Linked DNA regions of Sus scrofa. The protein of the gene in region 1 binds, or shares a complex with, the protein of each later gene. Links are inferred from orthologs where the notes say so. Each region holds a gene or a part of one and is shown in the gene's direction. Other genes may lie near its edges.

Region 1 (4,350 bases):
AGTCCAGGGTTCCACTGGGATGCCATACGCACTAAAATCTCGAGCCATAAATCCCCAAAGTTCCAAGATCCCAAAGCCTCGGACCTTGATGCTTTGTGTGTCTTATTAAGGGCTCCCCCACACCGGGTACTGAAATGGGGTGGTGGCGGTGGTGGGGAAGAACCCCTTAGGCAGGCTCAAGTTTTCCCCAAAGCCCCACTACCCGGCGCAGGTGTTCAGCTTTTTAGTTCGGTTGGTCCTAACATCCCTATCATCTACACTCAGGCCTCCCAACATTGCATTCCTCTGTTGATGCCGCTAGAAGAACTTCCATTTCCCCCCCCCCCCCAAATCACTAAATCTTTCGCTCCACCTCCATCCTCCTTTCTTCTGAGCTGAAAATACACAGACCCGAGAGCCCATGACTCATAGAGTATTCATCAGGCTCAGTTAAGAGCTTACCCGAAGCTCAGGAGAGCGTGTCACTGTCCTGGGATGCACGCTCGAGACGGGACGTCAGGTGACCCCGGAGACCAGCAGCTACCTGCGCCAAGGATGGTGGCCCTGGACTTTTGAGGAGCTCAAAACTTTTAGCGCCAGTCCGAGCACATGGGAGGGGAAAATCCCAATCCCAGCAACCATCGCGAGACTCCTGGCACAAAGTCGCCATGACAAGTAAGGGCAAGCAATTACCCTGCGGGCGGTGGCGACGGACGGAGGTGGTGAGGGTGAGGGGAGTCAGGATTCCTGCTGTGTTGGTTTTGTAGCTACTGACAGTTTGCGGTGAAGAAATTCGACAACCCAGATCTGTGAGAACAGAATTGGTGGAAACCATTTTGAAAGACTTGTCCCCGAGTCAGACATGAAGGTGAAAGAAAGACAGCCTTTGCACCTTTTGCCTGGAACTCTGCTCTCCCAGATGGCTGGATAGTTCCTCATTAGCTAAAATGTCAATTTTTAGGAAGACCTTCCTTAATGTTCCAAGCTAACGTATTCTCCTAGTTACGTTGTATCACACTGTCTTGTTTAATTTCCTTCCTAGACCCTATCACGTTTTGAAATAATTTGTTCCTTGCCTTCAATACACAGCAACCTAAGCGTTAGGAGAGCAGAGACCTTGCCTACTATCTTATTCATTCTTGTCTTTTCCAGTACAGTACTGGGTAGCAAAGAAGAGCTCAATGATAAATATTTATTGAATGAATGAAAAGAGACGGAGGTCTGAGGAGTTGAGATGCAAAACAGGTTCAAACCCCGTAAAAACAAATATAGCGCTCGCGCCCTCTGCAGGTGGGGAGGGGAGTAGGTGCTTGAAGAATGATAGCGCGAGGAGCTCAGACACATCTCCCTGACTCAGAAGCTCTCGGACTACAAGTCCCAGCAGGCACTAGGAGATTCAGGACTGGAGGGGAACGGTAACCCGTGACCTGTTACGTCCCTGCCCCGCCCCTCTTGTGGGTCGCCCGCGAAGTCTGATCCGGGATGCGGAGGTCCAATCGAATGGTGGGCCCAAATCCCGCGAGAACAGGTGGCGCGTAGCCACCGACAGGGCTAAGGATCGCCGAGCTCTCCAACATTCCTGTTCGCCCGCCTCGCCTCGCGAGGCCTGGGGGCGGGGGGCTGTTTTCTGTCCTATCCCGGGAGCAGAAAGAAGGCACTGCTGGGTTTCTCCAGTTCTGCGTCCGGATCCGTGCGAACTTACGGCGGTCTCTGCCGTTCCGCAGGCCCGGCAGCTGGTAGCCGGCGGGAAGAGGATTGCCTGGCCGCGGCCAATGTTTGCCGTGCTTCCTCTGCAGTATGAAGACCCCGGAGGCGCCAGTGTTAGCTCCGGACTGCCTTCCTTCAGACCAGGCCCCAGCTGCAGCCCGTCTCTCTCCTCAGGCTTCCTCGATGGATAAAAATACGAACCCTGAACAGACGCCACCGCCACCCGATGGGGATGATGCGCCCCGGATATCCCCGGATCCTGGAGCTGGCTCGGCCGTGTCCCAGGAGCTGGGGGAAGGGGACCCAGCTTCTCTCTCCACTCCGTTGGAAGCTGAGTTTGATACTCCTAGTGAGTTGAGCCCTCGAATCGAGGAGCAAGAACTTTCTGAAAAAGTGAGCCTTCCTGCAGAAGAAACGAACAAGCCAGAGTTGGGGCCGGGAGAAGACATGGAAGATGTGTCTGAGGAACCCGCTCCAGAGGATGAGGGATACACGTAAGTGCTGATGGCAGTTGGCTCAGGAATCTGAGGAGGTTGGAAATGTGAGATATATCTCATCCGCCAGTCCTCAGCCCCACTTCTCCAGGCCCATTTCTCCTTGGCTTTGGCGACCCAGGTTTGTCTTCCCCATCTTCCTTCCAGCACTTGGAACTACAGCTTCTCGCAGCTACCCCGGTTTCTTAGCGGTTCCTGGTCAGAGTTCAGCACCCAACCTGAGAACTTCTTGAAAGGCTGTAAGTGGTAAGTAAGGATGAGGAGGGGGCTCACCTCTGCCACAGGTCTGCTCAGCTCAAGCCCAACACTCGCAAGATACAGGTCTATCCAGGCTTCTCTCTCCTACTCCTAGGGCCCCTGATGGTTCCTGCATCCTGACCAATAGTGCTGATAACGTCCTGCGGATTTATAACCTGCCCCCAGAGCTGTACAGTGAGGGGGAGCAGCTGGAATACGCAGAAATGGTAAGGGTAGGGACTAACTGCCCCTTCCTCAGCCAGGGCACTTTTAAGTCCTGCCTGTAGATGGAGAAAGTACAGTCCACATGTTTCCTGTCACAAACAGGGTATTTTTTCACCGTGAGTTTCCACAGGTAGCATTTTCGGCCGTCAGTTCCGAAGTCATTTAAAGTGATATTTGGCTTATCTTTCATTAGGAATATATGTTTTCCATAAAGGAGTAGTGGATTTCTCTCCGTAGTTTTTAATTGACTTTCAGATATTTATTGAATGACCACTAATATGCCACCTACTGTGTTTGGTGTTGGGGTGAAGTGATGAACGAGACAGATGAAGAACTGGTTTGCTTTCTTGTGTGGGAAACATGTTACCCAATAAGCAGTCAAGTTCATTATTGAGTTTAACAAATACCATGAAGGGGTATTTGTTAAATACCGCAATGGGAATGAATCCAGCTAGGAACCATGAGGTTGCAGGTTCAATCCCTGGCCTTGCTCAGTGGGTGAGGGATCTGGCATTGCCGAGAGCTGTGATGTAGGTCACAGATGCGGCTCGGATACTGCATGGCTGTGGCTGTGGTTATGGCCGGCAGCTGTAGCTCCGATTCGACCCCTAGCCTGGGAACCTGCATAGGCCACAGGTGCGGGCTTTAAAAAAAAAAAATATATATATATATATATATACCGTGAAGGAAGTAAACAGAATGAGGAGAGATTAACCAGAGGATACCACTTTAAATAAAGTGGCTGGGGAGGAGTTCTCTGAAAAGGAAACATTTGAGCTAAGACCTGAAGGATGACAAGATCGGCATGTGAAGAGGTATAGAAAGAGTGCTCCACAAAGAGGCAGAGATGTGGGAATTCCCGTCGTGGCGCAGTGGTTAACAAATCCGACTAGGAACCATGAGGTTGCGGGTTCGATCCCTGGCCTTGCTCAGTGGGTTAAGGATTTGGCGTTGCGGTGAGCTGTGGTGTAGGTTGCAGATGCGGCTTGGATCCCGCATTGCTATGGCTGTGGCGTGGGCTGGCAGCTACAGCTCTGATTCGACCCCTAGCCTGGGAACCTCCATATGCCGAGGGAGCGGCCCTAGAAAAGACAAAAAAAAAAAAAAAGAAGGGGGCAGAGATGCTACAACAACCCAGAGAACCCAGAGCTGGGAAAGAACTTCATGTGTTCAAGGAACAGAAAGAAGGCCACCATGCCTGATGCCAGATCTTGTGGGTGGGGCCTTCGGAGTGCCTCTGGGAAGCCATGGGAGAGTTTTAAAAGAGAAGAGTGTTGGGAGTTCCCATTGTGGCTCAGTGGGTTAAGAACCAGACTAGGATCCATGAGGAGGTGGGTGCCATCCCTGGCTTTGCTCAGTGGGTTAAAGGATCCGGCGTTGCCATGAGCTGCACGCATAATTCGAAAATGTGGCTCAGATCTGGCGTTGCTGTGGCTGTGGTGTAGGCGAGCAGCTGTGGCTCCAATGTGAGCCCTAGCCTGGGAACTTCCATATGCCACAGGTGTGGCCATAAAAAGAAAAATAAAAAATAAAAGAGTGAAATGATAGTTGAAGTTTATTTACTCATTTATTTTGGCTGCACATGAAAGTTCCCAAGCCCAGGATTGAACCCGTGCCACTGCAGTAGCAATGCCAGATCCTTAACCACCAGGCCACCAGGGAATTCTGATGGACTGTGAGTGGTCAAGAGTGGAGACTCTGTTAAGAC
Region 2 (3,569 bases), on another chromosome or scaffold:
AACCTGGCTCCAGTAGATACACAGGGATCCAAGGAAGGAATGGTAAACATCAGATCAAAACAGAACTAGAATCTAGGACCCAAGGCATTCTGCAGGGGGGGAGGGGAGGTGGCATTATGGGGTGGGGTTAGGGAGAGATTCCACAAAGGGCTCTGGAAGTGGGCAGTAACCAGGAATTCCCTCCAAATCAGAGTATGGCAACACAATTGTTGCACACCTCTCTGGGGCAACTTGCAGATTCTTTCCTGGATTCCCAACCACATCTTGGTTCCCTACAGAATTCTTCACCAATACATCTAGTTTTTGTCTTTCAATGCTACCCAGTTCTATAACTGACTTCCTATTAATAACAGGTTCTGGCAAACCCTTGACTTAATTCAGTGTTGGCTGTATTTTCTGAACCAAATTCAGAGCACATAGTCTGTGTACTTAAGGATCAAGGGAACAGAATGTTTGAAATTAGGGTTGTCTTAGAAGATCAAGGGCATTGAATTGCTGTATACATATCATTTCCTTGGAAAGCTGTGCTGCAGTTCCCAAACTGTCCACTACCATCAGCTCTGCAGTCCACAGAAGGCTTAGCCTTAACCCTGGCTGAAAAGCCTCCCATTCCATCAAAAACTGCTATTCAGCCTAAAATTTCAAGAGCAAAAAGTCCTTCTTTTTGTTTGTTATTTTTGTTTAAAATTTTTGTTAATAATCTTAATTTTTTAAATGGTAATATGTCAGCATGGTTCAAAAGTCAAACTATGCAAAATGAAATATAACAAGTCTCCAACCATTCCTTTCCTCTGGAACCGAGTTATTTACCCCAGGGAAAACCAAATTTCCTCTGAATCCTTGCAAAGGTATTTTATGCAATTATAATAAACACAAACTATACTCTTTTTAAAAAAGCTTTCAGCTTTTTCTGGTTATAAACTTAATATATATTACAACGTTTCTGCCGTTATAAATAATAACGGCCACCTTCGTAAAGATATCTCGGTTCCAAATTCATTGCTTTAACTAGAAGTCCTATAAGGAGAATTTGTACGTTCTTTTAAAAATTCGAAATACCCCTAAGGGGTGCGTCTTATTAGCTACTCACCACTATAAGAATGGGCGTTGAATTTGTGGTAGAGACTTGAGTTTGAATCTTGGTTCGACCATTAAAACATACTTCACCAGTTTCATAAAATAACTTCACGCTCTTTTCGCTGTACAGAATATTGAATACCCATCATGCACTCTTTACCGCCAATACTTTGAAATAGGGCGAGGGAACCGGATGTAAAAGAGGGGAGGGAAGAAAACCTTCTTCTTTCTTCCCTAAAGTAAAAGGGGTTCTGGGTCCTGGAGCCCTGGTTTCTCCAGGTAATAGAAGCTCACTGCCTCTGAAATGGGTGTGTATCTTGTGATAAAGACAGGATTTTATTCATTAATGTTCAATCTATATCCATCCCTTCCCCCCACTGACGCCAAGCAGTGCCTAGCACACAGTGGGCACACTCCACGTGTCTCATAACGCCTGCAAGTTTGCAACTGGATTGCAACTGGCCAAGTCCTGCGGTAGTGCCCCCTTCCGGCCGGCTGGAGAAAGGCCTAAGTTGGACTACATTTCCCGGCGTGCTTTGAGAGCGAGACTTCCGTCTATACCGGAAGGAAGTTGCCAAACACTTTAGGCCTTCAGTTAGAAGCAGCTGCGGAAGGACCTGCGTCTACTGGCTTCAGCGTGATCATGTTTCTCCAGTATTATCTCAACGAGCAGGGAGACCGGGTCTATACCTTAAAGGTGAGAAGAAACAGGTTGTAAATGGGCATGACGAGAACTGTAGTTGGGAGGGGCGGTCAAGGCAAGCCAGTGAATTGCCTGCCTGGGTGAGGGGAACTAGAAAGCCCAGAAGCTACGCGTAGTAGAAGCAGGAGTGTCTGGCTCCTGGATCCGACCGTCGCGTGTCCTGTCTTCATGTTTACCTTTTTCCGCGTTGCCCCCTCCCCATCCCAGGCCCCATCTCTCATGACTCTCAGTGATAGGGTTTTCTCACCACTCCATTACTGAGATTTGTTATCTCTTTCCTCCTCGAGCAGAAGCTCGACCCCACGGGACAACAGACTTGCTCGGCCCATCCTGCTCGGTTCTCCCCAGACGACAAATATTCTCGACACCGGATCACTATCAAGAAACGCTTCAAGGTGCTTATGACCCAGCAACCGCGCCCCGTCCTTTGAGAATCTCTTAAAATTGTATGCTGCCTGCTAGCGCTCAAGAGACTGTGCAACCAAGCTCTTCGATCTGTGAGCCTTGAAGATTTACTCCAACCCTTGCTCATTAGAATCCGGTCTCATCATTGCCTTTGATCATGCTTGTTGTGAAGCAGTCATGCTAGCATTCCCTTTAAAGGGAAAAAGTTTGAATCTTTTTTTTCATACTTTGAATCACTGCCATGTTATTAAAATGATTTGAAAGAGCTCTTATTTTGTATGTTGTAAGAAGAGAGGATTGGTTTAAAAACAAACGAGGGAGATGAGAGGGAAGAGTACCCCAGGGATACAAGACTTCTTGGTGGCTGCTGTAGCAGTAGTGCTATGCTATGAGTCATAGGAGGGGGCTGGGGAAAGGGAGGAAAGCTTGAGAAAGACTCATCTGCAACAGCCACCTTCACTTGGCCAACCGTTGTGAATAGGAATGCCTTTATGTGTGTTTACTGACCCTGTGGAAATATTCCCAGGCCTTTAGTTCTTTCCATCAAGGAATTCTCTTCTTACATACACCTAACTTCACATTCTGTCTGCTATGTGGAATTCTACATGGATCTTAATTTAGAAGATGAGGCATGAGAGATTCAAGCAGGGATTTTTATTTTTCATGCTCCTCTTGAGGGATCATTTTTATTAAATTGTGGAGGATGTCTTAGGCCTTGAGCTTCTGTCATGGGGTAATCACAAATTTTTAATCCGATTACTTCATAATAGAGGGATGATGAGGCATAATATTGTATACAGGTATCCAAGAAATCCGGGAGTTTCCTGGTGGTCTAGTGGTTAGGTAGGACTCTGCGTTTTCACCCCTGCAGCCTAAGTTCAATACCTGGTCTGGGAGCTGAGATCCCATCTCAGGCCACTGCATGCCTCCAGCCAAAAAAAAAGAAAGAAAGAAATGCTAATGCTAACTTGCTTTTTCCATTCCTTAGGTTAATCGACTCACTATTTCCTAATCTTCTCATTTCTGGCTTTTGACGTTGAATTTAAACGTTTTCTTAGTGCCACTGATTTAAAATTGCCTTTTGGAGATTGCATCCAATTGTACAATCTTCTTTTCCTACATAGGCTTCCAGAAGCAGATGTGACTTAAATAAGCGCAAATCTGATTTATCAAGAGTGGTCCTGGAAAGGGGTAAATGTGCTTCTCTTGGACTCTGATGTTCGATCATCCCAGCAGAAAAGTTATAGTTGTTGACTGCTGAGGGGGAAAAAAAAAACAAAAAACTCTAGGGAGTTCCCGTTGTGGCACAGCGGAAACAAATCCAACTAGGAACCATGAGGTTTCAGGTTCAATCCCTGGTCTCACTCAATGGGTTAAGGATCTG

The links.
Region 2: WRAP53 (region 1) and NOP10 share a complex: the UniProt entries of both Homo sapiens proteins name them as parts of the telomerase holoenzyme complex. The link is inferred for Sus scrofa from reciprocal best matches to the Homo sapiens genes WRAP53 and NOP10.

Annotation. Positions count from the first base shown.
Region 1 is NC_010454.4:52,953,234-52,957,583, forward strand, and holds the start of WRAP53 (telomerase Cajal body protein 1), read left to right. Parts: upstream 1-1,440; 5' UTR 1,441-1,776; coding exon 1,777-2,180; intron 2,181-2,327; coding exon 2,328-2,426; intron 2,427-2,532; coding exon 2,533-2,644; intron 2,645-4,350. UniProt on the Homo sapiens protein: RNA chaperone that plays a key role in telomere maintenance and RNA localization to Cajal bodies. Specifically recognizes and binds the Cajal body box (CAB box) present in both small Cajal body RNAs (scaRNAs) and telomerase RNA template component (TERC).
Region 2 is NC_010449.5:80,159,411-80,162,979, forward strand, and holds NOP10 (H/ACA ribonucleoprotein complex subunit 3), read left to right. Parts: upstream 1-1,613; 5' UTR 1,614-1,720; coding exon 1,721-1,774; intron 1,775-2,070; coding exon 2,071-2,211; 3' UTR 2,212-2,889; downstream 2,890-3,569. Other genes in the region: NUTM1 (NUT family member 1), read right to left, coding at 1-50. UniProt on the Homo sapiens protein: Required for ribosome biogenesis and telomere maintenance. Part of the H/ACA small nucleolar ribonucleoprotein (H/ACA snoRNP) complex, which catalyzes pseudouridylation of rRNA.